Linked DNA regions of Rattus norvegicus. The protein of the gene in region 2 purifies or fractionates together with the protein of the main gene of each other region. This does not show direct contact. Links are inferred from orthologs where the notes say so. Each region holds a gene or a part of one and is shown on either strand. Other genes may lie near its edges.

Region 1 (16,069 bases), on a different chromosome or scaffold from region 2:
CAATCAGAAGACAGACAGGGCTTTTAAGGAAACAGTGGCAATTTTCCTTTCTGAATCTATCAGTTGCACCCTTATTTATTCACTTTTGTTTTTTGGAGAGAATCTATCAGTTGTACCCTTATTTATTCACTTTTGTTTTGTGGAGACAGAGTTTCTCTGTATAATCCTTGCTGTCCTGGAACTCACTCTATAGACCAGGTTGGCCTTGAACTTGACATCCAGCAGCCTCTGGTCCTAATCGTGTGTGCCACCACACCTAGCTTTTGTTTTGTTTGTCCTCTGATTGTAACCAGCTCCAGGAGGCTATCAAATGCACCACTGACCCAGAGCTTTTGTTTTGTACACGATCCTAAAATGTACCATGCATTACTGGTTTGTTGTATTTTTTATTATGATTTGACCCCACTTGAAGACCTGGAGATACATTCTAGAGAAAGGAGCTACCTACATCTAAAACACAGGGGAGAGAACACTGCACACTTAGACTGAGAATGCACAGTGCTGCTTTCTGAGAAATAATGAATGGTTTAAAAACCCCTGACTTTGCTGGGCGATGGTGGCACACACCTTAATCCCAGTGTTTGGTAGGCAGAGGCAGGTGGATCTCTGTGAGTCTGAGGCCAGCCTGGTGTACAGAGTTGAGCTCCAGGACAGCCAGGGCTACAGAGAAACCCTGTCTCAAAACGAAAACCAAACCAAACCAAACCAAAACAACTAAATAAAAAACCAAACCAACCCCGTGATTTCGTCCTGTGGTCATGTGCTGCCATCACTCAGTATGTGAAAGGCAACTGAACAACAGAACACAGCACTTTCGGACATTAGTGTGACATACATGAACATACATGAAGCCTTTACTCTACCTCAATTTCATGTATGTGTGCCTTCCTTCATGTGCAGGGAACAAACAGCCTGACCATGTTGCTTTGACTTTATGAGTCCTGGTGCCTTTGACTGCTGTCATTCATTCATTCATTCATGCATGCATCCCTGGCTATCCCTAAACTCACAGAGATCCACCTGCCTCTGCTCCCAGTGACAGGTGCCACTATGTTAGGCTCCACCTTATTTTTTTAAAACAGGGTCCCTCACAGACTCTGATTTGATTAGACCAGATGGCCAGTGAGCTCAACACCATGTGTGCAGTGCGTGTGTGTGCACCTGTGTACAGAGGCCTTGGGGGAGTAAGAGGGCATCAGCTGTCCTGCAACTGGGGTTATGGTTGTGTGTTACCCAACATGGGTACCAGGCATTAAGCTCCAGTCCTCAAGTGTTTTGTTTGCTGGCCTGGATATTTTTCTAGCATATTCCACTGCCACCTGCCCTGTGCAAGTCTCCACACAACCCTGCTCTGCAGATCTTCTGTCCCATGACTGACAAGACGACCCTTACTCCCCCTCCTTCCTCTTCACTGGTCCCCACACCGGTCTTCCTTCCTTGCCCACTGCTCAGCTCACCAGCGTGGGTGAGAGGCACTGCCCACCTTACTCCGGCTCTTACGGAGTTTCAGTGTTAATGCACACGGAAATGCACGGTGTTGACGCACACTAGCTTCCAGACTTCTTTATCTCCTTTCCATTTTCAGAGATGTCTGGACAGGATTTTGGCTTTGTTAGTTTTTAACTACTTCTGTGTTCCCGCTCTCTGTATCTGCCCTATATCTTCTCACACTTGCTGACCAATCCTTGCCGTCTGCACACATACACCTGAAGATGTTCAAAGGACGGCAGCTACCTGTCACTGACATCCTAAGCAGGCAACATGACAGCTTCTTCCCAACAGGGTGATTGTGAAGGAGACAGGTCAAGATTTCTTATGTATTTAGGCTATACACACAGGCTGGGGATGCCCTGCCTGACTGCTGGTGTACGGCTCTACCTTCCAGAGACAGAACTCTTCACAGCATTATTCACCACTGTGGAGCGCTGCCACGCCCAGCCCAAGGCAGACACCTGCAGCCTCTGAGTTGCCCCTGCTGCACTCTGGAGCCAGGCTTTAGCTTTTGAGCAGAAATCACGAGACAGGGGGTTGGGGATTTAGCTCAGTGGTAGAGCACTTGCCTAGGAAGCGCAAGGCCCTGGGTTTGGTCCTCAGCTCCGAAAAAAAGAACAAAAAAAAAAAAAAAAAAAAAAATCACGAGACAGATCCTCAGGCAGTTCATTTCCAGGCCTTGGCTGCAAACTGGAGTCACTGGGGAGTTTAAAATATTTGCCTCTGCCAGTCTCTCCTTTGAGACTTACTAACGGGTTGGAGGCTTGGGCACTGAGATAGCTCTCACTAGGCAAGGCTGAGGGTCGTGCAGTAGAGCAGCTTACTAGTTTGGCTGCCCCATACTGTTTGATAGCAGCCCTGATGATTCCCCATAGCCTGTTTTGGCTCCCTTGCACCCGCTGACTGCGAGTCTGGAGTTCTGCCTGCACTTGCTAAGAACAGCGTGTACCTCCACAGAGGTCTCCTCAGCGCCTGCTTCAGGCTGGATTTACAGAACGCAGTCTCCATCCGTCTAAGCCCATGTATGTATGCATTTCATAAGCTCCCATGTCTAATCCATTTCTCTGTCTCTCTCTTCTCACTGTTTTGAGACAGAGTCTCATTGTGTAGCTCTGGCTGTCCTGGAACTCACTAGCAGACCAAGCTGGCCTTGAACTTACAGATTCTCCAACTGCAGCCTCCAGAGTGCTGGGTTTCAGGGTATGCATCACCTCGAGTACCTCCCTCCTTCTCTACCTATATAGCATTTCATCTGGTTAGGAGGGAGGGACCGGGAGATTTCAGTTGAAACTCTGCTCTGAAAGCACCATGCCCTGCAGCTCCGTTCAAAAGGAGCTGAAAGCCTGGGGCCAAAGAGCCCAGGAGCCCACGATGCTGCTGTGGTCAGTTCCCACCTCCAACACCACCGATCTGAAACCCAAAATAGGAGCTCACAGCAGAGGGACGGGAGCTACTCAGAGCTCTGCTTCAGCGCAGTTAGATGGTCTTTGACTGCAAAGTTTTCGAGTGGCGATGCAGCCAGGGCAAGCGAATACACAAGTGTGATGATGCAAGTGTCAGTCCTCACGACCACGCCCCCTAGAGCCCTCAGAGCACACTGCCTTCTCTATGATGGAAAAGGGCAACACAGAACACAAGCAGTACGACAGTCATTTTACCTGGCAAGAAAAAGCACAGGAGAAGCTTCAACTGATTTGTAAAAATGAGAATTTTGATAAGAGTAAAAAAGCACACTGTTTTGAGAAAAAAATAAATGTCACAATGTGAAAAGCAGCAGCAGATGATGGTGTACAGCCTTCCAACCAGCCACTCACGCAAAAACACAGCCGACCACCACTGAGAAGAAACACACCAAGACGGAGACTATCACTACACACAGATTCACCAGGGATTGGTGCAGGAAACAGACGGTGTCAGGATTCCTTCCTTAAGCCCCGGTGAAGGAAGCACACAAGTTATGAACACAGCACAGGGGTAGAAGGGAAAGCCTGTCACATCGGAGGGACCCCATGTCACACCTATCACAATCAAACTGGAAAATCAGCCTCATTTACACACAATACAACCAGATGCTCAAGGGAGTAATCGCAAGACTCCATAGTTCAGACTAAGACCTCCAAAGTCCAAATGTAGCCCATGCCTGACCATTCTGTTTTACCCAGAAACCCAGAAACTCTTGGTATTTACCACAATGGGCGACCTGACACACAGCTGGGCCTGCAGATGTAAACTAACTGTGGCTATACTGCAAAGAGAAGTCCCAGATGAGCAAAGGAGAACGAATTGTGGTGCTGAGTGGCACTGTACGTATATGGCACTGTAAAAATTGTTACATGTATGAGCATTCTGCTTGCGTGTATATCTGTGTACCACATGTGTGCCTAATGCCCTCAGAGGCCAGAGCAGGGCTTAAGATTCCCCGGGCCTGGAGTTATACAGTTGTGAGCCGCCATGAACATGCTGGGAACTGAACGTCGGTCTCTGAGGAAGCAGCCAGTGCTCTTACCTGCTCTGCCCAGTACTCAATGTTTTAAATACACATGTGGCTGAACAGAGCCCTGTGCAAATGCTTGTCTACACTTCTGAAGTACACTCCCGAGCTCCAGGAGCATGAAGTCCCACCACACAAACACACACGAGCACTTGACAGTGTCTAGATGCTATTTTCCAGGGGCAGGAAACAGCTCCTTGGTGAAAGGGATGATCCCAGGCCTGGAGCAGCAGGATTTTCAAGTGATCTTAGAGCCTCTCACAGCACCATAGAGTGAGGAGACAAAGTGAAAGCAGTTAACAGTGTTCTCTACAAACAACAAGCAAGGCAGTGACACAGTGAACAGAGCCCATGGGAGGGAGGACACTCTCCACGGTCAGCATCTTACTGGAAAAGACAATCCCCCTAGTGTGTGCTGACAAATTAAACAGCAAAATCAACACAGGGAGGGAGAAGAGACAGCTCTTCCTTGCAGTGGAACACAACATACAGCTATAAATCACACACACAGTAATGGCCGCTGTACGGAACCTCGCTAGTGCGTGGGCCGTGTAAAGGTTGGTGGCCTCCCAGCACTCCTTTTCCTGCCTCACTCAGCGCTTACGAAGAGTAACTTCACAGAGAGAAACACAGGAGGCACTACCCTCGCCCAGCACTCACCAGTAGAAGCTGGGGTCGTGGAGGAGGTGGAGGAGGAGGTGGTGATGGTGGTGGTGGAGGTGGAGGAGGTGGTGGTGGTGGTGGTGGAGGAGGTGGAGATGAAGTACTAAAGAGGGCACCGCGCCACCCACAGGCCATTCTCTAAAAGCTCCATCTAGTCCCTACAGGCATGAGACACACCTAAAGCGTGGTGTTCTCCAGCAAATGGAGAGTCATCTTCAGATGTGTCAAAGTCACAGGAAACAAAGACAGAAGACTAACTCATTAGAAAGGAATAAAGCCACGGGAGCTAAATGCGGCTCCAGAGTCTGAACGTGAATTCAGACTAGAGAAGGAGTCCGTGTGGTAACTAACGGGAGCGGGACAGGGATGGCGCTAACCTCCTGCTCTCAACAAACGCTCTGTCAAATCAATCAAACAGAACAGATTATTATGAATCACTGACTCTGGGGGAGTTCCCATAGCACAGAAAAGAAACTGCTGTGTAGATTTGAATTTTTCATAATAAAAGATGAAACCATATTACGAGTAAGTTTTTAAGTGGCTGTTACAGCTCTCTCTAATCCTTGCAATTTTCATAAACGTGACTCCCACTGAGGGTGTTTTGGGGCTGTCAGTGGAGCCTCTGAAACCAAGAACCCCAGCACGGCCTCAGTCTAGGAAGGGGTGAGGGCGCAGAGGTCCAGCTAGCCTTAGACCCCAGTCTCCTGCTCCTGTCTGAGGTCATCTTTGTTCCAGAACAAACCCCGAGTGACACGTATGTACATGCCAAAGTTAGGACAACCACTCTGGTTGTTTAAATCGCCTCTCTTCTTCCTGTAGAGAGTCTAACGACTTCCTCCTCAGGGAGGGACCGGCTCCTGCAGTCCTCACTGCTTACCTTCCACCGTGGCTCCTTCATTGGGGTTTGAGTAGCCTTCTCCTTTTCGTTTGATTCTCCGGATAATGCCTGAATCTTCAAATAGATCCTCGCCTTTGAAGTCAAGGAGTTCAATCTAGAACGGAAAAGATGAAGCCAGTTTAACAGATGGGTATTTTATAGAACTTTAAACTACATCTTGATGCACACGGCTTGGAGAGAACTCGGTGTAATGGCACTGTCTAGGACTTCATCCTGTGGGGCTGCAGTGCAAAGACAGACAGGAAATACTAGGACAACTGCCTTGTGGGCCAGAGGCCAGAAGTACAAGGTGCTGGCACAGAACAATCTTGGCTGACTCGCAGGACACCCGTTTCCCACCCAGATTTGTGGCGTTTCCATCTTAAGATTTAAGAATCTGGCCTTCAACCAACTGAGATGAGCTTTTCACCATGTTAGATAAAGATCCAGTTTGGCCAATTATATGTAATTAATTCAACACAGTAAACAGTGCACCAACACTCACTGATCCTGATGGATTTGAGGAGACAGTCGTAAACCTTCACAACTTAACACTCCCCACCACCATTTCCGGCCTGTCAGCTTGGAGTATGTCTTACTTTCCTCTGCTGACCAGAACTTTTACTTCTACATCTGCGTCTTTTGTTTGTTTGGATATGCCCATTTTGTGCCAGAGACACATTTCTAAGAAAGCACTGGCACATCCCCTGGGTGTGTGGGAAACAATTCAAGGAGCCAAGCTCCAAAATAAATAAGCCGGAGCAGGCTCTCAGCTCTCAGCGGAAGCCCAGCTCCATGTCGCTCTGCGGTGCGGCACAGCACAGCCGACGCGGCGGCAACACACATACTTGCCTCGAAAAAGAGAGTTGCGTTCGAGGGAATTTTCGGGAGGCTGCCAGCAGAGCCGTAAGCGTATTCTGGTTTACATAATAAGTGGCAGATCTCGCCTTTCTTCATGGTAGACACCCCAATATCCCAGGCTTTGATAACCTGGCCTAAGAGAAAGCAAGAAAACAAAGGAAAAAAACAAACAAATCTGTCAAACAAAATCTTCAAACAAAATCCAGATCCGACAAATCCTAAGGATTATAAAATTTGGGAAGTTTCCTCTCTTGCCAGCTTCAGAAACTCAGCTTTACCGCCCAACTGTGGGGCTGTAGCAGGCAACCTGTTCCGTGTTATATTTACAAGTCGTTGTTTTGAAATTTTGAGATGGCCTCAGGCCGTATAAACTAGCCTAGAACTCCTAATCCTGCTGATCACCTCGTCTCCAGATTCCTGGATGACAGGTGTGTGCACCACGCTTGAGTCATACTCTTAGCTCTTGTCATGTGCACCATTAATCATGTCTCATTTAGGGGCTAGAGACATGGCTCAGTGGTGGAGAGCACTGGCTGCTCTTCTAAAGGACCCAGGTTCAATTCCCGGTGCCTGCACGGCAGTTCACAGCTGTCTGTAACTTCAGTTCCAGGGGACTAGATGCCCTCACACAGATACACATGGAGGCTAAACATCAATGTTCATAAAATAAAAAGAAATAAAATAAAACAAAACTATGTCTTATTGTAAGCAGTCTCAAACCCTTTGGGAAACAACAAAGAATTTTAGCACTAACAACAAAACACACTTGAGGTGCTATGTCAATCAAAACCTTAGACATGTGGGCCACAGAGATGCGCAGGCAAAGCTACCTGCTGACGAGCTTGCTGACCTGACGTTGATCCCCAGGACTCAAGTGATGGGGGGTGGGGGGAAGGGGGGAGATTGATTCCTGTAAGGTTGTTCTCTGACTTCCACACACAAACATGTTCAAGTAGGACCGGATAAACAGTGAAGTTCAGAGGAAGTAGAGCGACAGACTAGACCCGGTACACTAGGACCAAGGGACCCTGTCTGTATGGAGGCAAGGAGAAAAGGCGATTGCTATCTGGGACTTCAGCTCAGTCTCTGTCATGACAGAGCACCAGCTCCACTTCCTTGTAACTTTCCACAGCACATGCTTATCATAAGACTCCACATGCCAGGTGGTGGCGGCAACACCTTTAATCCCAGCACTTGGGAGGCAGAGGCGGGAAGATCTGAGTTCAAGGCCAGTCTAGTCCACAGAGAGGGCTCCAAGACAGCCAGGACTACACAGTGAGATGCTGTCTTGAAAGTCAAAACAAAACAATACAAAAACAGGAAAAAGAAAAGAAAAGCCTATGGCAGTGTGCTGTCATTCAGTTCTGAACTCCTTTTCACTTAATGATGTCATCTCCTTTCTGGGTTACTAGAGGGGAGATATGCAATGTAGGGGGTTCAACGTGCCGGATTCCAACCTGAGGTCTTTGAAAACCTGTGAAGTTCAATGTTTCCTGACTTGGGAACCTTAATAAGAGCCGCAGTCCAAATGCACGGCACAGTGACACGCAGTGTCTGGTGTTAGTCCAATTCAGTAAAGGAAAGCTGCCCCTGCAGCCACCACCACAGATAACCCTCTCTCTTGGTCATTTGAGACAGGGTCTTACTATACAGCTCGGCTCAGCTCAAACTCATAATCTTCCTACCTCAGCTTCTTAAGTGCTGGATCACAGATCTAACCAGTGCTCCTCCATGTCACTCCTTAGGCGTGCACATGTGAGGAGTGTACAGTCTGTGTAGGATGTGTGCCTGAGCCATGGTGGACACGTGGGGGTCAGAAGGCAACTTTGTAGTCAGTGTCTCCTTACACCTTGACAGGGCTCCAGGGGTCACCTTACCAGCCCCATCTATCTCCATTCTTCTTTTAAAATGGATTACTTTACTTATTGCATGTGTGCACGTGTCACAAGAACTGGTGGCAAACGGTACTGGGCTCTAAAGGTGAGCCCTGCTCCTGTCCCTCACAGGATCCTGCAATGCACAGGAGTTACTACAGGAAGGTCTGGGCCGACGCTGCTGTCATTACTGACACAGGGTCTTAGGTGCCCCAACGCTGACCTCCTTCTTCTTCATTACCAAGGATAACCCTGACCCTCTCCTCCTCTGCCTGCACCCCCTTCCCATCTGCTGTTGGAATCACAGGTGGGAACCACCTCATTCCCTGACCAGCTTTCTAAACAGCAGCGCCAAGAAGACACTGAAACGTAGAGAACACTAGTTGAAAACTTCTGAAATCCTTGCAACCAAGGAAATTGTCACCTGTAAATTACACACATAGCTTCTGTTTGGTGTATGTTGACTTTCACATGCTATTCTGAGAACTGAGCTGATTCATTGTTTGGTCTGCAGCTTCTCAACACCGCTCACGTTATAAAAGCCGCTTTCTTGATGTTGTCTGAACACTCGCCCTTTACTAACCAGACCACTCCATTTTAGCTCAGGGCGATACTTTCCTTTGCTACCATCAGATGCCAGTGAACAATCGTGTGTCTGACTGACTTTCTGTGGTAAAGCCTGTAACTGAGAGGTTCAGGACTGGCTGACATTAAACTGTTAAGCGAAGAATCATGCAAAACAACATACACATCTTAAAATTTAGAACATGGCCAGCTTGCTAATTCATGGAATGTTAGTGGCCACGGCTTTGTCTGTGAGTATGGCCATTCCAGGTTAGAGAAAAATTCCTTTAATGCAGAATAAGACCTGAACAATGCAGGATCAATATGTAGGCACTCCTGGTGGAGTGTCCGAAGGCCACTTACTTTAACTGCTTACCGCCTCGAGTTCAGTGGCATCCAAGAGGGCTTTCAGCACTTCTTGGGGCAGATCTGCACGAGTGTCCTACAAGTTTCTCACACAGTCCTCTCCCTCTTTACCACTAATCTTGATGTTTCCTAAATCTACTGAAACAAAATACTTGGAAAAAGTACACCTGGGTATTAGGTTAAAGATGACTCTTATTAAGAGAAATAAAAACGCAGTCCCAGGTAATGGCCAGGTGCTGACATTTGCAGCCAGGCTGTTGTCTGAGGTGAGCCTGGGGCTCAGAGCAAGGCCAACTCAGTCGCCACTGCGCACAAACAAGAGTATAAAACACCACCTCAAGACAAAACAAGAACACTTAACATTTCATCTAAGCTTGGATAAAAAATAAGGTCACTGTGCACCCAAATATATCAAACAGCCCCCTCTCATGGCTGCTCTGGGCAACTGTTGCATCCCACCATGGGTTAATCCAGGCTCATTCTCCAGCCCAGGATCACCCAGTACCCTGTCTACTCTGCTTGTCCAGAACTACCCAGATCACACCAGAGCCCACAACGCTACCAACAACTTTCCTGCCACGCACTCTCCAATCCTGTACGTCCCTACTGTGTACCTTTCTGGAAAGGACTAAACCTAGATTGTCCAACTGCAGCGTGCTCCTGGTGGTCTGTGGCTGGGGAGGGTCAATGCCCAGGGCACTTGTGGGTATCTGCAAACAAAACTAGACCAAACGCTAGAAGGAGAACCAGTGGGCCAGAAGCACCAACATTTCAAAGAGTCTTCCTCTTTAGGATCTTTTTCCTGTAGACAGAATATGCCAAAAAAATGTTTTAAAAAATTTATTCTGGGGTTGGGGATTTAGCTCAGTGGTAGAGCACTTGCCTAGCAAGCACAAGGCCCTGGGTTCGGTCCCCAGCTCCGGAAAAAAAAAAAAAAAAAAAAAAAAGACTTTTATTCCTACATTTGATCTGGGTCTCAATTTTACTACCTCAAACACAATGTTTCAATTTTAGGAGTTCTATTCCACTTGTAACAAAATATCAAATAGTACATACTTACACCTCTTGTATCTACAAAGACACAGGAATTTGAATTGAAAGGCAATGTTGGGAAATAGCTCTGCAGGTCAAGTGTGAGGCCCTGAGTTCCAGCCCCGGCTCCATGTAAAAGCCAGGCGCAGGGACAGTGCTGCTAAGCCAGTGCGAGAAGCAGAGAGAGACGTGGAGCTGAATGGGTGAGTCCTAGATCCAAAGGGGAGGAGGCCCTTCCTCAAAGCAGCACGGACAGCTCCAAGGCCGATCTTTACACACACACACACACACACACACACACACACACACACACACACACACGATCTTCACACACACACATACAAACGTGAACCTTACACCCATCTGCACAACACACACAAGTAAGTAAGCAAAATGTTACACTAAGCCAGGGTAAGAGCCATGTGGTATATTTTTTTCTTTCTTCTGTAGTAATATATATATTACTATTAAAAAACCCACACAATACTTTAAAAAACACTTCCCTTTATAATGAAAACGACTTTATTAATAATGGACGGACTAGCGGTTTTACTGCATAGCTCCCCTGGCTTCAAACAGGTTTTGCTGTGATTGAACAAAGTGCACTTGATATGACTACACACACCTGCTACGCAGCCTGCCTCCAGAATGTTCTTCTTCTGGCTTTACCCATCTGAAACTTTATACTTGATTACATACCCCCTCCTCTCAGCCACCGGCAAACATTCTTTTTCTATAAACACATAATACAAGTGGAGGCAAACAGCATTCACGTTTTGGTTGAATTCTTTCATTTAGTAGAATGTCTTTGGGGTTCATCACGGATGCAGCATGTGCCAGACTTTTCCTCTCCTCTAGGACTGAGCAATGAAGTGTGGTGGCACAGACATTTAATCCCAATACTCGGGAGGCAGAGGCAGGAGGATCTGTCAGTTTGAGGCCAGTCTGGTCTACAGAGTGAGTTCCAGGACAGCCAGGGCTGCACAGGGAAACCCTGTTTCAAAAAAACCAAAGGTGGGGCGGAGGGGAGGGACCTGCATAATGATCCACCATGCGGCGGTTTCACATTCTGTTTCGGTCAGGTGCAGAAGGACACTTCAGTTGCCTCCACCCTGGACACAGTGTCCACATCGCTGTTAACGTGTGTGTGCACATGAGAACCTTTGCATAGTCCCTTTGATCCCTACCCAGCAGACTGCTGGATCACGGCCGAGTCTTCGGTGTTTAAATGTGTTTTTCTTTAACATTATTTTATTTATTTTCCCTTATTTTATGCGCATTAGTGTTCCGCTTACATGGCGGTGGCTGGGAATTAATGGGTCCTGGAAGAGCAGCCAGGGTCTGAACTGCAGGGCCCTCTCTCCAGCTCTAATCTCTCTTTTTTGTTTCTTTTCAGGCAGAGCTTCTTTCTCTGTGTGTTCCTGGCCGTCCTGGAACTCACTCTGTAGACCAGGCTGGCCTGGAACTCATACAGATCCTCCTGCCTCTGCCTCCCAAGTGGAAGATGAAAGGTGTGCGCGACTGCCAAGCTTCAGTCCTGTCATTAAGTGTACTGAGTGTGACGTAAAGTGTCTGTAGGCTTAGGAGTATGAGATGTATGAAGTATAACATTTCTGTTACACATTAACTTCACAGCATCATCGTGCATTTTGTGTTTACAGACCCTACAGACTGCCATGCGTCCTTGCCCAGAGAAGAGCAGCAGGTGTGGAGCACACATGCGCACACACATGCGCACACACATGCTGTGGGCCATTCTCTCCCCCCACTGCACTGCCTCACACCTGAGGTGTGAGTTCACTGTGTGCAAGTGAACAGACCTGTGGGCCTCCACCTGTCTCCACATGGACAAACAAAACCACTTTCATGCTGTCAGATTCTAAACATACTCAGATCTTATACGCAGGCATATGTTTAAAAGTTGCACACTCAGTGATTTTCAGCAGGGGTGACAAGAGACATCCTTAGAAAAGGAATTCTTTTCAACACTGTTAGGAGAACTGGACACTGATATTTTCTACCTCCTAGAATGCTGGAGATAGATGACGACTTGAAGAAAGGACTTCTCTGTCTCACTTCACAATCAAGGAAGGATGCTTTAGAGAAAAAAAGTCAAGTGGACAACAGCACTGCAAACAAAATCAAAACTAACACGAGCACACAAGGGCAACTGTCCCGTTCTATCCTGGAACACAGCGCACTGTGCTAACAACCAGGTCTTAGACTGATTCTGTTTCTCTTTCCCAACTTCCTGGGACAAAAAAAAAAGTTAGCTAAGCATCGTTTCAAAAGGTTTTATATGACTGCTCAGTAAGGAGAGTTACGACACAAGAGGTTACAATAGTTTTTACTGTGCTGGGCTGATGTACGCTATGGTATGTGGTATTTTCACCTCAACGTTATACAGTGGTTTATAATAAGAGCAGTTATTCACAGTGTAGACAATGAACTTGGAGTTTAAAGGTCAGTACAGGGGGCTGGGGATTTAGCTCCGTGGTAGAGCGCTTACCTAGGAAGCGCAAGGCCCTGGGTTCGGTCCCCAGCTCCGAAAAAAAAAGAACCAAAAAAAAAAAAAAAAAAAGTCAGTACAGGAAGGGCAGTAGGCACACAACAGGGGAGAGGGCAGAGGGCACACAGTAGGAGGTAGAGGCAGTGGGCACACAGTAGGGGGCAGGGGGCACTGGGCACACAGTAGGGGAAGGGCAGTGGGCACACAGTGGGGGGAGAGCAGTGCTCTATTTATGTACATTTTTCAATAAAGTTTTTATAGTTACTCATAATAGTCCTATTTAAAATACTAATCTCAGGCCAGATGTGGTGATGCGTATCTTTAGTCCCAGCACTTTGGAGACAGAGGCAGGTATACCACTTTGAGTTCGAGGCCAGCCTACGCTACAAAGTAAGGTCCAAGACAGGAGGGGCTACATAGAGAAGACTGTATCTTAAAACAAAACAAAACCAAACAAAACACCGAAGTCATACTAGAATCCCAAAATTGCCTGGACCTTCTCTTTGGAATATTTCTGTGTACTTCCTGGGAGACCTACACTCTAAGGGACTAGGGACTCCAGAGACAATAATTATGCTACTTTCTACTTCTATTTCTTCTTTATTTTGACGGAGTAGCAACTGTTACAATATTAATACAAGATCTATCTAAATGGCTTGGCTAGTTTTCCCCTTTTCCTGAGACAGGGTCTTGCTGTGAGGTACAACACAGCTTTGAACTCAGAGCTCTACTTTGCCTCCTGTGTTGGCCAGTTTTACATCAACTTGACACAAGCTGGAGTCATCTGAGAGGAGAGCATCTCAATTGTGAGGACCATTGTGGGTGGTCCCTGGACTGGTGATCCTGGGTTCTTTAAGAAAGCAGGCTGAGCAAGCCATGATGAGCAAGCCAGTCAGCCCTCTGTGTCCTCCTGCAGGTTCCTGCCCTGCCTGAGTTCCTGTTCTGACTTCTTTCAATGATGACCAGTGATATGGAAGTGTAAGCCAAACAAACCCTTTCCTCCCCAAATTGCCTTTGGTCGTGGTGTTTCATCACAGCAACAGAACCCTAACTGGGACACCTCTCAACTGCTGGGATGATAGGTGTGTACTATTGGGCTGGTTTACCTTTTTCGTTCTGTGGTCAACTGTACAGCACACTGTGCTTCTGACCCTGATCTGCCAAGTGCTGGGATTACACAGGTGCTACCCTGAGGTCACACTCAGCTCTGGATGCTCTAAGTACAGAGCAGCACCCCAGTCCAGAGCTGTCACTTTTAATTGTACAAAAGTGAAATATGTTTGACTTAATATAAGCCAAGAGGAAGTCATTCGTTTGTTTCTGACCGACGATGTAGAAAAGTGCAAACTCACAAGGACCTGGGAAAAGGCAGACGGGCAGTGTCACAGAGTTTCCTAGGTGACTATCAAAAGTGTCGGAGGTTCAGAAGGTCAGCTGCATTAAAGGACTGTTCATACTGTACTCTGCTAAAGCCCTGATCCAGCCTGAATGGACTGCCTGTCCACACTTGACGGTCCATATATTGCGCTGGTCCCTGGGAAAGACAGGCTAATTGAATTAGGCAGATTTTTTTTTTTTTTAATTAACTTGAGTATTTCTTATTAGGCAGATCTTCTAATAGTGACAAATCTCACTGTCCAGAAGTAAAGTCACACTCATTAGTACCCATTGCGCTCACAGAAAAGTCTTACGTTTCAGGAAGCTGTTAAGCCCCGGCAGCCACAAAAAAAATTTTTTTTTTTTTTTTTTTTTGGTTCTTTTTTTCGGAGCTGGGGACCGAACCCAGGGCCTTGCGCTTCCTAGGCAAGCGCTCTACCACTGAGCTAAATCCCCAACCCCAGCCACAAATTTTTTAAAACCGGTTTTTACCTGAAGCTGTGATTGCAGCTTCCGCTTGGTTGTTTTCCTCGAGAGGATGGGTTTCTCTCACTCTGCTTCAGGAAATACCTCTCAAGTCTCAACAGTCAGACCGTCTTTGCAAGAAGAAAAATGTTCATAGCAGCACCAAGCTAGCTCACTTCCCAGCTGAAAGGGTTGCAGCTTCCTGAGGGTAGGGGTGCACAGAAGGGCCGTGCGCACAAGCTGAGGGCCACCCAGGAGCTGTACCATATGTGTCATGTGCTGACTTATGAAGCACTGAGGTGACACCTAACAGGAGAGGCAGTGACAACACGACATGGGCTGCTGAGACGACATCACTGACACCCACAAAGGTCCCCACGGTTTGTGCCTCTGCAGGTCTTAGGTTGCGTGTGAGTGTCAGGAAGTGAAAATGGCATCATCCTCACGCTGCTACAAAAAGTGATGCAAACAGACCACAGGGACGGCATCTGCCAGGGACAGGCTCCACTCCTTCAGTGGAATATAAACAGAACCAAACCTAAACAAACACTGAAAACATTGCCTGCTTACCTTTGCCAAGGCTAAAGACAAACGGCTCGTTTCTGTCACGACTGGAATCAAACTTCTTTCCATTCGACAACTTGCCTTTGTAGTGGACATAAACCTTGTCACCAATCATTGGGGTCTCCTCACTAGTCCCCACTCTTTTGACAATCTAGAAGACAAACATAAGAAAAGAGTGTAGAGCTTTGCACTTGTAAAAGGTACAAAGGCCACCCGGGCTACTCCCCAACATCCAGACAGATGGGCAGATTCCCCGCAGTCCCTCGAGGATCCTCTGTTCCTCTCAGAGAACTGTCTTCACTGGCCCTTTGTGTTACAGTTATTACTACTGCTCTCCACAGTATTCTCTCAAAACAGAAAGCCAGAGCAGAGGCAAAAGGATCACTGCGGAGACAGCCTGGTCTACATGGTAAGCTCCAGGCCAGCTAGGTTATTCTGTGAAACCTTTTCTCCAACAAGACAAAATGGAATCAGCCAGTAAACCACATGTGGTTGGTTGAAAGCCCCACACTTGATGCTAATATCTCTCAAAAGACAAGACTCATGAGCAGGCATCAGGTACACAAACTGAATTAGCCAAAAGACTGCTGGACACTTAGTCAGTCAGTCAGCTCCAGCGAAGAATCAAACTGCTGTCCTTTGCTAAAGATAGGCTCCGACTACTATATGCTCCGACATGACAGCTTAGACTTCCACTGTCTGCACAGTCTGAAAATACAGACTTCAACAATATCAAGCAGAAGCCTGTCTTCTAGTAAAGACAAAGGACAGGGAAAAAAATGAAGAACTTCAAACTGAAAAATATTTATCCATTGTAAAATCTAGAATATTTCCTTTATTCTCGTCAGAGCAAGCTGCTAATACAACTGGTCAGTTCTTGGAAAAGAAAATTTAATCCAGGTGTGTGGTGGTGCAATTCAGCCTGTCAATCATCT
Region 2 (16,007 bases):
CTCTGGAAGTGCTCTGAACTGCCACACCTTCTCTCCAGTCTCCTTATGAGTATTTTTGTTTGTGTACTTTTCCTCTGCTTCTACTGCCTGAGTCCTATTTCTTAAGCTTTCATTTTCTTTCTTTCTTTTTTTTTTTTTTGGAAAAAGGTGAGCTATGTAGCCCTGGGCTTGCAGTCCCTGCTCCTTCAGGCTCTCTGAGAGTTGGCCTCCTGAGTGCTGGGATTAAAGGTGTGGCCCACCCCTTCCCAATGATCTGAAACTGGTTCCCTTCAAACGCTGAATCCTTGTGCAGTTTTCTTGTGAGCGTAATCACACACCAGAGAGTGTTGTGGATATTTGGTGGTGGGACGAAGCAGGAAACATCAGGAGCCAGGAGTGGCAGCAAACATCTATGATCGCAGTGCTGGGTCTCAGCCAAGGCAGGAGGATCACGAGTTTGAGGCCAGTCTGGGCTACAAAGTGAGATCATATGTTTTGTTTTAAAGACTTATTTATTTTATTTATTAGTAAACTGTCACTGTCTTCAGCCACACCAGAAGAGGGCATCGGATCCCATTATAGATGGTTGTGAGCCGCCATGTGGGTGCTGGGAATTGAACTCAGGACCTCTGGAAGAGCAGTCAGTGCTCTTTTTTTTTTTTTTTTTGGTTCTTTTTTTTCCGGAGCTGGGGACCGAACCCAGGGCCTTGCGCTTCCTAGGTAAGCGCTCTACCACTGAGCTAAATCCCCAGCCCCTGCAGTCAGTGCTCTTAACTGATGAGCCATCTCTCCAGCCCCAAGACTGTATCTTAAAAAAATAAAATACAGCAGAAAACAAAACAAAACATGGTAACAGAGTGCATTCCTTCAAGATATTAAGTAGCAGTTTGTCTTTGGAGGCGTGGCCATTAGAAGGTTGGGAGACTTCCAGGGGATGGCCTCCCACCTGTGCACTTGCCATAGACACAGATTGTGTTAAAAAGAGATAGGCGTGAAGAATGTTGGAAGGAGGATTTGCTGGGAGGGACCTGGGGAGATTTGGGAGGAAGAAACGAGTGGTGGGTATGATAGTCATTATATATGCATATGGAATTCTCAAAGAACATATTTGTTTAAAGGCAAAAAATATTAAAAAACAAAAATCAAGATAAAAAGACAAGGCATTCTTCAAAATCTTATCAGTGACAGCAATAATGGTTCTTGTGGACTTTGCCTCCTAGAAGGGGGAAGAGAGAGAGGAACTGTCACAAAAAGCAAAACACAAATTACTGAGCGTGAAATCAAGTGAGTCCCCTGTGCTAGGGACATGGAGCAGGGTCGGGGGTGGGGCGGTTAGTGTACAGGAGGCTTGCCGGTCACGTGGGTCCTGCAGAAAGATGCCCTGAGACGTGACTGTGAGCAAAGGCTTGACACAGACAAGGATGTTGTCTGTGAGGGTTGTTTGGAGCCAGACAAAGCCAAGAGGAGCAGGTTGTTTTATTTTAGCCCCTGATGCTGCCAGCTTCCTTCAGCATCATCTCTCCTGAGCCAAACAAACAGTGCAGGGAGCCTTGGCCCTCACAGGGAGCCTCCGCCCTCAGTCTCTGTTGCTATTCCATCTCCTCTGTCCTTTCAGGAGGAACTTTCTGACTTCTGTTTTCTGGCCAACTCCTTTAATCTGTTGTGCTTTTCTACAATGGGTGCAGCTCTCCTGTAAGCTACCAGGGATCAGAAGCCAAAAAATCCTGGCCTTTCCCAGTTCACTCTGCGCTTCCTACTTTAAAAATATACAGTTGGGGAATGCACGGCCTTTTGCCGTTTTTACATTTTTTTCTAGCTTTTATTTTTATTTCACATATATGGGTATTTTGCTGACATGTATGTCTGTGCACCATGTGTGTGCACAGTGTCTGCGGAGATCAGAAGAAGGTGTTGGATGCCCTGGGACTGGAGTTACAAACAGTCGTGAGCTGACAATTTCTACCAGCTACTGTTTTGTCTTTTTAGCCTGTTTTATGTTGCTATAATAAACTACCCGAGACAGGGTATTTTATGAAGTCAGAGCTTCCTTTGCCACACAGTTATGATGGCTATAGAATCCAAATAACATGGAGTCAGGGGCCAGGTGACATCACCCTGGCTGTGTTGTGACAGTGAAGAGAAACCATCTGTGAGCATTCGTGGTGGCTTACTCTGCCAAGTGTGTTCTTGAGGTAACTGATTTGCTCTGTGGAAGCAGCGTTAATCCCTGCTGCTAGAAAAGAAGTGACCCCAAGCCCAAAGACCGTGTGCTAGATACCACTTTAAAAAAAAAAAAGATTTATTTCACTTATTTGGGATTGGAGACACGTGTGTCACAGGAGTGCAGGTGCCCTTAGCAGTCCTGGAGCGGTTGTCACAGGCAGTGGTGAGCCACCCAACCTGGCTGCTGAGAACTGAACCTGAGTCCCCTGAGAAGGCAGCAAGCACTTCTCTTCCCCACTGAGCCACAGAGCCAGCCTCTCAGAGCCACAGCTTAAAGATGGCACTGGAGATCAAGCCTTCAGAGGGCCGTTGGGGAAGTGGCATTCTCTGTTGCCAATTCTCACAGGCCCCCTGCCCTCCCCGCATGCCTCCCCTGTGGGTCTGGTGTAGTCAGTTTTTCTCCCAGCGACTGTATGTGGGTCTGGTATAGTTCCTGGTATCTCCTCTCTGTGCATGTTCTCTTGGGCAGCCACATCTGGTGATTTCAAGGACAGCCTTATCAGGTGAGATATATATATATATATATATATCTCCAGACATAGCCATTCTCTGCAATTAGGCTAACAGTTTGATTGAGGTGCATAGTACTTCAAACTCAAGAGGACTGGACAGGAGCTCATAGCCTTCTCTTCCAAACTCATTACTTGACTATGTGTGGTGTAAGAAGCCGCCTAGACTCCAGGACAGGAAGCTGTCAGCTATTCACCTCCCACTGCCCTCTCCAGCCCTACCTACGAGACCCCACAGGCAATCACTGGAGGAGATCTATGTCACGTCAGCCAATAGTCACCGCTCTCCTTCTGTGACAGAGTCGCATATCTGTGGTCCTGGAACGGTCTCAGGCTGGAGATGAGACAATCCAGCCGGTGAGATGTAAAATGATGCTCACACGAAGCAGGGTGTGGGAGCGCATGCTTGGAACCCCAGCATTCAGGAGGCTGAGGCAGGAGGAGCACAATGAGCTCCAGGCCAGCAGCCCAGGTTACAGAGTAGGACCACTCCGTTTAAATATTTAAAAAGGCAGCCTGGTGGTGGTGGTGTCTGTAATCCCAGCACTCTGAAGGCAGAGCCAGGGAGACCTCTGAGTTTGAGACCAGCCTGGTCTACAGAGTGAGTCGGGACAGTCAGGGCTACACAGAGAAACTCTGTCTTGCAAAAACCAGATAGATAGATAGATAGATAGATAGATAGATAGATAGATAGATAGATAGATAGACAAATACACAGATAGACAGATAGACCCAGAGAAAGACACACAGAGAGGCAGTGTGGCACATTGCTAGAAGGAGCATAAAGGGGTCCAGTGATCCCCCAAGTCCATCCTCAGGGTATTGACATGAGAAAACATGGAATGTGCCAGGATATAGCTCAGCGGTGGGTGTTTGCCTAGCCTGTGTGAAGTCCTGATCTGATTGCCAGTGCTACAGAAAAAGGGAGGGAGGGAGGGGAAGTGGGAGGGAGAGAGACGAAGTTCATCATTCTTGTACAGTGTCCGTCTTCTTTCCTAATCTCTATATGACTCTAAGTTTAGCATATGTGCTGCCAACATAAGTCCCCTTAAGGAGAATGTTAGTTATTTTGTGTTTCTAGTTCTCAGATGTTTGCTGACTGAGTCAGTAGCTTAGGATGAATAGTTTTATAGCCTTGTTCATTTTGGACTCCCACAATACCTTCCTGCATTATCCAGCGGTCATACTTCCAATGCTGATGATAATGTACCTCGGGTCTCAGTACATACTGTCCCTCTTAGAGATAGGGAAGAGTTAGAAGTACAAAATCTGAGGCTCAGAGGCTCTGAGAAGATGGGCTAAGATAACAAACAGTACCTTGGGGATTCATTTATGAAAGATGTTAAGAGTAACCAAAAGATGTCACCTTCAGGGAAAGACCTTGAGCTGTTTGGATCTAAAACACCTAGTTGCTCAGAATGCATGGCTTTCTTCTATAAGCTAATCTTCACAGCTTTCTCCCGGAGTCATTCTCACTTTTAAAATGACGAAAGTTTAGAGACTAACTCTAAGGTATTTTTAGATGCATTTAACTAAAACACTAAGATGCTAGCAGGTGTCACTACCAACTTTCATAAAACCCTGCCATTCTGCCAGCACTGTCCAACAGAGTGTCCTCCGTGATGGAACTTTCCACACGGCCGGCATCAGCCACACATGGCTCCTGAGCCCCGGGAATGTGAGACGGAGGGGCTGGTGTTTTAGACTTAACTGAATCACTTAAATTGAAATATTTAAGGGCTGGGGATGTAGTCCAGTGGGAGAGCATTTGCCTAGTGTGCACAAGCTCCTGGGTTCAATCCCAGAGCCAACAATGGCAAAAGAAATAAAGAAAAGATAGAAATATATAATACTTTCATCACCAAATCTGAACAGTTCAGTCAGGTCTGTGTTTTATGTTCCTGGTCAGGAAAGTTTAAATTATACTTAGTAACAACTTCAAGATATTGTAGCTTAAAGGGGTATAGTGGATTTTTTTATTTGTTTGTTTTGTGTGTGTGTGTGTGTGTGTGTGTGTATGTGTATGTGTATGTGTGTATGTATGTGTGTAAGGGGGATGATAGGTACATGTGTGAATGCAAGTGTTGTCAGAGGTCAAAGGGGATTGGATCCCCTGGAGCTGGGGTTACAGGTGGTTGCGAGATGCTTGATGGTGATGTTGGGATCTACTAGAAAGTTAATTTAGGGCCTCTGCGAGAGCAGTGTGGGCTTTTAGCCCACAGACCCATCTCTCCAGCCCAACCAGAAAGTTTTATTTCTCTCTCCCACTGTATGTGTCATTTGGGAGCTCCGTTCTTTATCTCCTCACCCAAGGCTCACCCTGAGTGCCTCAGTCCCATATAGCAGTGAAAACATAGCAAATCTGAGAGCCTCGCTCTGGGAATCCAGTGAATGCTCCGCCCACATGCCCATCACTTCCTTTCACAGTCCATTGGCCAGAACAAATCGTGATGTCCTCTCCTCCCCCACCCACTAACGAGGCAGGAAGTACCATTTGTTACTAGTACATCTGTTACTAGGACATCTGTCTGATTATGGATGGTCCAGAGACAGAAATCCCAAAGGAATAGCAGTAATGGCTAAGTACTCCTAGTCAAATGATTATGTTTTAAAGAGTTAAGTGTGTGTCTGTCGTGGGAGGAAAGATGCACAAATAGCAGGAAAGCTTTTACAAAATAGGAATGAAGGAAAGTTTCAATGTTTTAGAGACATATGCATAATTTTTATTTATCTTTCCAATAGGCAGACCCATTGAAAGAAAGAGAGAGAAAAAAAGTACATAGATAATTTGTCTTCCACTTAAAATTAAAGATGATAATTGTTCGTCTTTTGTTTTGAGACAGGGTTTCTCTGTGAAGCCTTGGCTGCCCTGGAACTCACTCTGTAGACCAGGCTGGCCTCGAACTCACAGATCTGCCTGCTTCTGCCTCCTGAGTGCTGGGATTAAAGGTGTACATCACCACCTCATGGCGAAAGAAGATAATTTGTTCATTTAACTAAAAAAAAAAAAAAGTGCTTCATAGATAATAAAACAAGTCTGTTCTGCAGCTACAGGACCGTATAGACACCCCAATGCAGCCAGTCTGTCACAGACATTTTGAGGCCATGTTCGAGAATCTGCAAGAATCCTTACTTCCACCTAGGAACCTTGGCTTATTGCCCTCCTTACCGTCCAGAAGGCAGAGGAAGCCACCTCTGTGGCGGGGACTCTGTCTATGCGCATGGGCCGGCGAGAGTTTAGAGAGGCTTCCTGGTCCACCCACCCAGAGCAGCAGCGATCCGTGCAGTGGCCCACCAGCCCCTTTGCCTTGTGACCACTGGAAGGAGGGTCTCTGGCTCCTGGGTTTTCCCTTACAGCAGCTTGTCCCGCATGCCTTGCTCTTCCTGGTGGCCCACCTTGGAGCATGCAGCAGAGTTGGACATGTGTTGGGGAAGAACAGGCTTTGGGGACAGAGTTTGTACATCAAACCCTAGCGACTTACATCTGATACTGAGTGTTCTCTGTACACTTGACTATGTCTTAGCGTTGTTAAGAAGATTACACAAGATTAGATCCACAAACTAAAAGGTGCTCAATAAACATCTATTTCGTAGACTGCTTCCTTTAAAGTGTGGTATGTGATATGTGGAGTTGAGCTTAATGATTTAAATGTGCCCGGATCAGAAGTGGCTAAGCGGTTTTTCCTCTTGTGCGGCATGGTCTTAATCTTTCATTTCTGTAGCCTGAAGGGATTAGCATTATCTGTTGGGGGCAGCTAGATTACGTAATTAATTCACCTCATACTTAAAAGCACCACTTCCCACTAAGTCACACAGCCTTACTTAAGTTGCGGGCATTTAAAACCCAACGTGTAAGAATTTAAATCAGATTAAAACCTGACGGGAGTAAGCATTGTTTTGACTTGCTGCTGATTATCCGGGTCTGCATCCCCCGAATCATGATCCAATGGGAAACATCAGCTGCCTCTTCAACAGAAGAATGGTCTACAAATCCGATAGAGACGTGATTACCGGAAAGATCTCAGACGCTGGACACAGCAAGCCTCGAAATTTCCATTTGAACCCTGGGATGGCGCCTTAGAGAAATTACTTAACTTCTCAGAGCCTCCGTGACCACGCTTATACGGTGGAATAATAATAGTAGTTATTTCAGTGAGTTGTAAGAATAAGGTATGCATTTTCTCTGATTTATTCAAGTAGTCACTGAAAATCCTTGACCGGAACAGGTCTGAATCCCACACCATATCCGCACTGGCATCTTGCTAGGTTGAATACGATCTGTTCTCTGCGCACACACACACCCTGTCAGCCCCCACCCAGCCCACACACTTCACCTTGCAGGTGCAGTGGGCAGGTTTTGTCCAATGGCTTGCTCATATACACAAAGACGGCTTTCTGGAGGATTATCTGCATGCATTTTTCCCCCCTTCTTTCATCTCAGACACTGGGTGGATAGTTACCATTTTTAAATTCTCTCTTAATTGGTTCGTCCTCCTAAAGGATACATAGTGGTCTCTGGTTTCTAGGCTACTATATTGCCTGAGATGATCCCTTGATGAAGTAATTTGAGTTTCCCAAGCTTCCTTTAGTGGACGAGTGTATCAGCCGGGCGGATCTCCTGCTGAGGGGTCTCTGTGTGCACATGTGCCTGGTGGTGCCCCACGATTGAATTGCATCTCTGGAGCTCCAGTATCTCCATCATCAGTGGGAGCTTAGGTTCCTTGTCGCTTTTGCCATCTCTGAAGACAATTAGGACTCGGTAGCAGGTGAGAGCTGAAACTCAACTCTAGCCGGCAGCCCAGTTTGAACTCCCGAAATCTGGGTGTACTTAAGCAGTAAACACTGTGATAGCCACTGGAGGAGGAAGAGTGAACCCTGGAATCATCACAAATAGTCCCAAGCAAGTCCATTTGTTGACAACTTTATCCAAGGGACCACGTTCCTACAGACCTCCCTAAGCCAGACTAATCCCCTCCACGCCACAGAAGTCTTTCAGTTGGGGCGGGGGTGGGGGTGGGCTGGACTGTAAGGGAATACAAGCATGGCAGACCTCAGCAATTACCAGCTCCGGCTCTAGAACTTCCCAGTTGTCTGTCTCCCAGTCTGTCCCATAAAGAAATAGAGTTTTGGGCCCAGGGACTCATCAAAATGGTTGAAACTGTTCTGAAGAGCTAGCTCTTTTCACGTCACCTCAGTTTATGTCTTTTCTTTCTTTAAGGCAACAATAACAGCAATAACCTTCCATTGCACTCTCTTTGTGTGTTGTACCGTTGCCTTCAACATTTTTAAACATTCCAGGCAGCGAGAGAGAACACAGATCTCTGATCCAGTATGAATGAGGGCACGAAGCTTCTTAGTAAGCAGACACAGGAAACCAAATGGCTACAGGTCTGAGAGGGAAAGAAGGATGGACAAAGTCAAACGACAGAGAGAAGACGCAGACTGAGGAGAGGAGACTGGTTAAGCACCAGTTCAGTTACCCACGGAATTCCACACTGGGTTTTTTTTAAAGGTGATACAAAAGATTGCAGAGGCAACTTCTTAAAATAGTCATTGTGTTTCTTATTGTTATGTGTGTGGGCTTCTTGCCTGCAGGCATGTCTGTGTAACACATATGCAGGACCCAAGGAGGCCAGAAGAGGGTGCTGCACTTCCTGGGACTGAAGTAACAGACAGTTGCCAGCCACCACATGGGTGCTGGGTACCAAACCTGGCCCTGTGAGAGAGCAGCCAGTGGTCTTAAGCACTGAACACCTCTCCAGCCACAAGCATCATTGTGTCCATCATAATGAGAACCAGGAAAACTTAAAAAGAACAGAGTGTGGTAGCATACACCTTTAATCCCAGCAACTGAGAGGCAGAGGCAGAGGCAGAGGCAGAGGCAGAGGCAGAGGCAGGGGCAGGGGCAGGGGCAGGGGCAGGGGCAGGGGCAGGGGCAGGGGCAGGGGCAGGGGCAGAGGCAGAGGCAGAGGCAGAGGCAGAGGCAGAGGCAGAGGCAGGTTAAAACTATTTAAAAATATCTCTCTGACCTCACAAGCTACAGTTATATGTCACCACATCTGTGGGTTATAAAGTGACACACGAGAGTCACCTGTGACAGGGGCTGGTGTAGCACTTCAGCTCCTCGACCTGTCTTTGCTGTGGGCACCAACATCTATTTAAAAGACTCAAACTGGGGTTGGGGATTTAGCTCAGTGGTAGAGCACTTGCCTAGCAACTGCAAGGCCCTGGGTTCGGTCCCCAGCTCCGAAAAAAAGAAAAAGAAAAAAAAATTTAAAAGACCCAAACTGATATTTTTATGGCTCTCCTGAAAGTCTTGATTTTGAGGAACTGCTGCCAGTTTCCAAGTCCTAATACCCAAATCTATATTTGGAATCTCTTGAAAAGTGAATATTTTAACATAAATCAGAGTCAGAGGAAAAGATTTACAGACCCCCAGTGTCCATTTAGGTTCCTTAGACCCCAAGTCATTTACTAAACAGTTTACGTGTTCTAGTTTTTCCCAGTTGTGTTTCATCTCCCACAGGTTTCATCTCTGTGTTAGAACAGAAGCATAGGGATATCACAAGATTACAGAGGCCACGTCTGCCTCCTCCTTCCCGCCATTGCTAGAACTGAGTGCCACATACTGTATCGAATTGATTTTCCATTGTGACCAATTTTACTCTATAGGTAGCTGTTCTTTGTAAGAGTCCCCTGTAGATCAGAAAGGCAGGGTTTCTGCCTCCCTTCTGGCTGCTTAGGTAAGAGGAAATCAGGGGCAGAGAGATGCTCAGTGGCTAAAAGCACTTCTTGTTCTTGCAGAAGACCAGGTGCTTCTCCAAAACCCACACAAGCTGGCTCACAACTGTCTGTCACTCGAGTTTCAGGGATCTGGTGCCAGGTTTTGGCCTTCTGAGGAACCAGGTGTACATGTGATACCCATACTTACATAAGCTAGAACACTCACAACAAAATTTAAATATTTTTTTAAAAGTAGGAGGAGTCTGTAGCAACAAAAGAAGCAATAGCGACACCAAGGCAGGCAAACATTGGAGCGTTTTTTTGATGAGGCTGCAGCTAGAGCTTTTGCCTATCGCACCCCAGGCCCTGGGTTCAGTCTTTAGTTCAAGAAGGAATGTTGTTTTTTTGACAATGGTGTGAGGGATTTAACCCTTCACCTTGGAGATTGTAGTTTGAGTTCAGTTCATCCTGCTCTTGACTAGTTAGTTTGAAATGGCACAGGAATAAAAACAAAAACAAAACTCAAAAAACTCGAGAAAATGTTTTGCACAGGGAATACCACATGGTTAATATTGCTGATGGTAATTTCAACTGTGCATGGTCAAGATACAAAACTTAGGCCTTTTATAAAATGCTCTGGGAAATAGCTTTAATTCTAAACTTCTTCCTTGGTTTTTAAAGACAAGCCATTGCTGAAGAACCAGACGGCAGACGTCTTTGGTTCATAGACGCCTTTAAATTGGGAAAGTCAGAGATAGAGATCAACAAGAAAGTCACAAAGAACAGGAGACCTCCCTGTGAGTGACACTCGGGTGCACACATAAGGGATATCCCAGGGGTTTCCACCAGGAGACATGGCCAAGGTGTGCTTGCCAACGTGGTCCTATCAGAGAATAGTACTTAGGATTTAGAATCTGGCCAGGGACACATAGAGGGCTGGCTGGCCCTGTACCTGGTTTCATTTTAACTCTACCCAGATTACTGTCCCTCCTACCCAGGGCAGAGGCTCAGTAGAGGAAGTGCTCCTGAGACACTTGAGTGTGTCTGTGCTTGGCTTTGGGGAGTGTTCTGCCAGCCTTCTGTGCATGCTGGCAGAAGCTAGCTGTGCATGAAATACCTTTTAGGGCACAATGTTTCTGGGAAAATCTACCATTGTAGCCTTTGCCCCTTGAAACTGATTGAGAAGAGAATTCACCACTGAGATGATAAGGATCCCGACTTAGCAAGAAATGTCACTTCAGCACCGAATATCCCGCACCCCAGGAAGGAAACCTTGCAGCCTTTGGGGAAAGTGGGTCTGTTGGTCAACTTTCACCCTGATGTGTCTTGCCAGCTGACACAGAGGCCTGCCTAGCTAAGAAAAAGACGATGTCACAGGAGCTTTTTATTCTACCAGTATTGGTGGACATCTTCAAGCTGTTACTCAGGAGTCCACCACAGCTCCGGGAGTAGAAGTGGCCATGCACATCCTCATCCCTTCTCCAGCTTAGGGAGTGGGGTTCTGAAGGAGGTTGCCCTAGGAGTAGGGATAAAGTTCTAGACCCCGGACAGGGGCGGACACTTCCGTCCTCCATCAGAGATCCATTGATCCATTGCTCGTGGTTCTGGCCGCTCACCTGCAAAGACGTAGATGACCTCACCTTTTCTTTTCACCAACATTTGTTAACCCCGGCTAGGAGGTGTCCCTTCCTGTAGGAGGCAGAAAGGTCACACATTTCTGGCTTTAGCTCCACTCCGGAAACTGCAAAGAGAGACTCCTCTGTAGGGAGGAAAAGAGAAGAGCATTGATATAGTATTTCCTGAACTCTTCCACAGGACACGTATTTTGTCTGCCTGTTGTAACATCCGTTACTCAAAGAGATGTCAAAATAGGCAGACTCACTCCTAATTTATGCTGACTCAGGGTTTGTTACCGAATCTGCGATAGTTGTCAAATGTTCCTTATTTAATTCAGTTCAGTGCACACTCACCAAACACTAGTGGATGAAGTTGGGGAAGGATCTGGCACCCAGCGGTGTGCCAAGGTGTGTTAACTGTGCTCCCACCAAGTCAGGCCGAGGGCATCAGGTGGGCTGGATAGCCTAAGGAAGGTTTAAAACCTTGTCAGATACCTTTGTCTCTGAAGACAGTCTAAATAAACTCTAAGGCATGACCTTCATAAATTTAAGTTTTTTTGAAATATCTTTATGTAGTACCTTCATCCTTACATCCTTACAAAGACAGATGTTCCTTGGCTTACCATAGGGATATATCCTGGTAAGCCATTGTAAATTCTTGGGTTCAATCCCCAGCATAAAAGAAAGACAATAAATATCATAAATCAAAGTGTATTTTTAAATTTATTTTTTACTTTATATGTGCAGGTATTTTGCCTCTGTGTAGGTCTGTGCACTGTGCATGCAGGGCCTGAGGCAGGAGATCAGTGGGGTATCAGGTCCCCTGAGACTGGAGGTACAGATGTGCTGTGAGTGCTGGGAATGGAACCTGGGAATTGATCCTCTGGAAAAACAGCTCTTGCTTTTAACCACTGAGACATCTCTCCAGCTCCATCAAAAATGCACTTAGTAAGGCTGGAGAGATGGCTCAGCAGTTAAGAGCACTGGCCATTCTTTCGGAAGTCTTGACTTCAATTCTCAGCACCTGCATGGTGGCTCACAATGGGCTATAACTGTAGTCCCACAGGATCTGATGCCCTCTTCTGGTGTGTAGAAACACATGCAGACAAAATACCCAAAATAAACAAATATAAAAATGCATTTACTAAGACCCTATATCAAAACGATAATAAGCATTTAGCAAACCTAACTTGTAGGACGTCAGAGCTTAGCAATGCTGTACACTGTGGAAGGCTGGCTGTTTCCGCCTTGTGACTGTGCTACTGGGAACTTGTAACAGTCTGCCACAACCCAGTGTGGAAAAAGTGCATTGCTAGATCCCAAAATGACCAAAACTTGGAATAAAGGCACCCATGGGCCCTGGTTCTAGAACTACCGTGGTTATTATTTATTATTATTTATTTTACTTTATTATTATTTATTATTAATTACATCTAGTGTGGTACACACTGTGTAAATAGTTACACAGCATCTTAAAGAAAACAATGACAAGAGAAAATTGGTTATGTTAGGTACTTTCTGTGTTAAGACACATTTCCCCCTGAATTGTGGAGTTGTCTGAATCTGAAACTGACAGGCACAGACAGTCCTGGAACCCAGGGGCACGGAAGGCCCATTTTATGGTTACTACTGAATGCATATAGCTTTCAGTTTATTATAATGTCGAATCAACTCTTAAATGAAAGCATTGCCCATCGGGAGAAGCCTGTATTTGACTGGTGGGCACCCTGGCAGTTTGCAGTTCCACAGACACCTGTGTTTATTACACACCCTTGGTCTCTGTGAACACTCATTGAGGTGACGAGCCAGGTCCTTCCTAAGTTAACGTTCAGTTAAGGGACTCATCTGCACGAGAGGGAAGAAACTTCCCAGCAGATAGCTGTGTGCTAAACACGAACGAACATGTGTGTGGCGACTTCCACAGTTCCTGCCACAAAGTAGGCACTGAACAATTGTCATTGCTGGGGGCATGAGCAGACCAGAGCAGGAGCCCTGGTCACCAAATGTGTGCACAGAACTTGCCTTCAGCGTCCTCACATGCAGGCCATGTTTTTCCAGGCCCCTGGTCTGAATAGCTCATAATTTATCAGAGACAGACTTCTATGTTTGGCACACCAAAGGCATAACATGTTGTAATGATATCATTTGCTTGAAGCTGTTCACACCCAAGGGGAAGGGAGAAGCTTGCACTGTCAGCCTTGCCTTGCTTGGTCTGGACTTCTCTGGTGTGTAGAAGCACATGCAGACAAAATACCCAAAATAAACAAATACAAAAATGCATTTACTAAGACCCTATATCAAAACGATAATAAGCATTTAGCAAACCTAACTTGTAGGACGTCAGAGCTTAGCAATGCTGTACACTGTGGAAGGCTGGCTGTTTCCGCCTTGTGACTGTAAATAAATCAATGCTGTGGGAAACCTGCAGTTCTGACTGACATCTTTGGTTTAAAATAATACATTTGCTAGGCTGGAATGGGGAGGAGGATTAATTTTTGCTGATCCAAATAGGACATTTTTCACAGGGATGCTATGATATTCCCTTTTTTACTCTCCAACTCACATCACAGCATAAACAGTTAAACAGCTAAAACAGACGTTGTGTACACTTAGCAGACTCTGTCAACTCAAATCCAAGCTGATTTAGGAGTTTGTCTCCAAGAGAAATCTCTTCTTGCCTTGGAGACAGTGGCATGAAAAGCTTGGGTTACCCTGGGGCTTCCTTGCCTTTCTAAAGCAGGGGTAGTAATGGAGTGGAAGAGGAAAAGAAAGGGAGGGGGGAGGGGAGGGGGAGGTGAAGAAGGAGAGGAGGGAAGAGGGGAGGGGAAGAGAGGAGGAAGGAGAAGAGGGGGAGAGAGGAAGAGAGGAAGAGGAAAGGAGAGAGAGAAGAGGAAGAGGGAGGAAGGGGGAGACAGAGAGAGAGACAGAGAGAGAGAGACAGAGAGAGAGAGAGACAGAGAGAGAGAGACAGAGAGAGAGAGAGAGAGAGAGACAGACAGAGAGAGAGACACACACACAGAGAGAGAGAGAGAGAGAGAGAGAGAGAGAGAGAGAGAGAGAGAGAGAGAGACTAATCAAAAGGATTCAAGTTGGCTGTGGATTGCCAGACTCTCCTTGCTAAGTCACAGTGAAAGAAAATGTAAAAGCCAGGAAGAAAAAGAGAGGAAGGAGAGAGGAGAGAAGCCGGGAGGCGGCAGACGGCTCTCCCTCAGTGATCTCAGCCAGGCAAGCCCTTCCACTCCAGTGACTGCTCATTAGCTTAGTGAATCTGACAGCGTAATTATCACAGCTGCTTTGCCCTTAGAATAAATAAATACGAAAGTGGGTGCTTAAAAAGTTTTTTTGAGAAGGGAAATTCAGTCATCTAGACTGTCGGTAAGACAAGTTTATTTAAAACTTTTAGATTCTTATGTATTAGATCATTTCAGAGGAAATAATGAGATAGTTGTCTCTCAGTCTAATTGAGTTCCTGGGCTCCTGGCAGCTGGCTGTCACCCCTTTCAAACCTCGCTTTGACTCTCTTCCTTAGAAATCCGATCCCAGTGTCTCCGTTTACTCTGCCCGTGCTGATAACCTGGGGAAGACCTGTGCACTGGAGTGCAGAAAGTGGCTTAATGGGATTGGGGCGCTGAATCACCACCGCAGGAAATGAGATAATCAAACCTCCCTGGTCTGTGCCGGCTGAAGGGGAGAGTCAAGGAGCTTGGAAATTCATCCTTGCAAAGTGTCTTTGCTGTTTCCCTGGTCATGTGATTCTGTGCTGGTCTCGAACATCATCAATCCACCAGCGACAGCTGCTCAGAGTGTTCGATTACTCAGAGTGCGCACTTCTGTCTGAGAAGGCCACCGTCTTGGCTCATTTGGGGACATGGCAGCTTCATGTCATCGAAACCCAAGGGATCACGGGGTTCCTTAAACTGCTAACCAACACTGAGTGCACTTCGGCTCCGACCAGGGGCGCGGGACACACCCATCTCTCACTAAAGCAGATGGTCTTTTCTTTTTACGTTAATTAGTACCTGCTTGTCTTTCCTCTCTGTCTCGCCTCACTTACTTGAACCCTTGTATTTAGTGAGCCGAGGTTTCATAAACATTCAGTTCATCCTGGGTTAAAAGAAACTGGTGTTAACCCACTGTGCAGATAGGAAAAAAAAAAAAAAATCAAGGCTTATGAAAGCCAGTGGTGCATCTGGGATTTGAGAAAGGAAAAAAGAACAAGGAAGCATAGGCCTTTAATTCTCAGTCCAGCGCTCAGAACCCTTGCACAGTTTGCTTTAATCCATTCTTAAAACCAAAAAATGGCATCACCAACACTACAGAAAATTCTGAAAGGAGGGAAAATGATCCAGAATATTCTAAAACATTTTTATTCTCTATATTAACTTTCAGGTTTGTTCACATGCAAATAACTTTCATAAGTAGATTATAATACGCCATTTTATAGTCTCAATTTTGTTTTTGGTTTTTGAGTCAGTGTCTCACTGTATATTTCTGGATGACCTGTAAATTTGCTATATATAGACCAGGCTGGCCTTGAATGCACAGAGAACCACCTGTGGCTGCCTTGAGTGCTGGGCTAAAGGCATTTGCTGGCTTTTCTCTCTTCTTTCCTCCTCCCCCTCCTCCTCCCCTCCCTTTCCCCCACCCCTTCCCTTCCTCCGACCCCTTCTCCCCTCCTCTTCCTCCTTCATTTCTATCCTTTCTTATTCTCTCTTTTGGTTTTATGTAGCTTATGGCCTTATGTGCTTATTATGTGCTACCAATATACTTCACACTCCTGTGAGCAGCTTCAATGGTATACAGCACAGGCAACACATTAATATTAATCCAATCCATTCTCCGGGGCTCAGTAATTAAATTGTTTATTTTTTAACTTTGTAATGTTCAAACCATTATATATATATATATATATATATATATATATATATATATATATATATCGCATTTGCATACATCT

Evidence for each region.
Region 1: the proteins of Cdk15 (region 2) and Fkbp5 purify together in Homo sapiens (affinity purification with mass spectrometry; 3 studies listed by BioGRID and IntAct, counting the BioPlex papers as one, with this or other methods). This does not show direct contact. The link is inferred for Rattus norvegicus from reciprocal best matches to the Homo sapiens genes CDK15 and FKBP5.

The regions. Positions count from the first base shown.
Region 1 is NC_086038.1:6,482,994-6,499,062, forward strand, and holds part of Fkbp5 (peptidyl-prolyl cis-trans isomerase FKBP5), read right to left. Parts: intron 15,286-16,069; coding exon 15,141-15,285; intron 6,518-15,140; coding exon 6,375-6,517; intron 5,638-6,374; coding exon 5,523-5,637; intron 1-5,522. UniProt on the Homo sapiens protein: Immunophilin protein with PPIase and co-chaperone activities. Component of unligated steroid receptors heterocomplexes through interaction with heat-shock protein 90 (HSP90).
Region 2 is NC_086027.1:68,288,623-68,304,629, reverse strand, and holds the end of Cdk15 (cyclin-dependent kinase 15), read right to left. Parts: intron 11,194-16,007; coding exon 11,084-11,193; 3' UTR 11,075-11,083; exon of another isoform or gene 11,051-11,074; intron 8,102-11,050; 3' UTR 5,412-8,101; downstream 1-5,411. UniProt on the Homo sapiens protein: Serine/threonine-protein kinase that acts like an antiapoptotic protein that counters TRAIL/TNFSF10-induced apoptosis by inducing phosphorylation of BIRC5 at 'Thr-34'.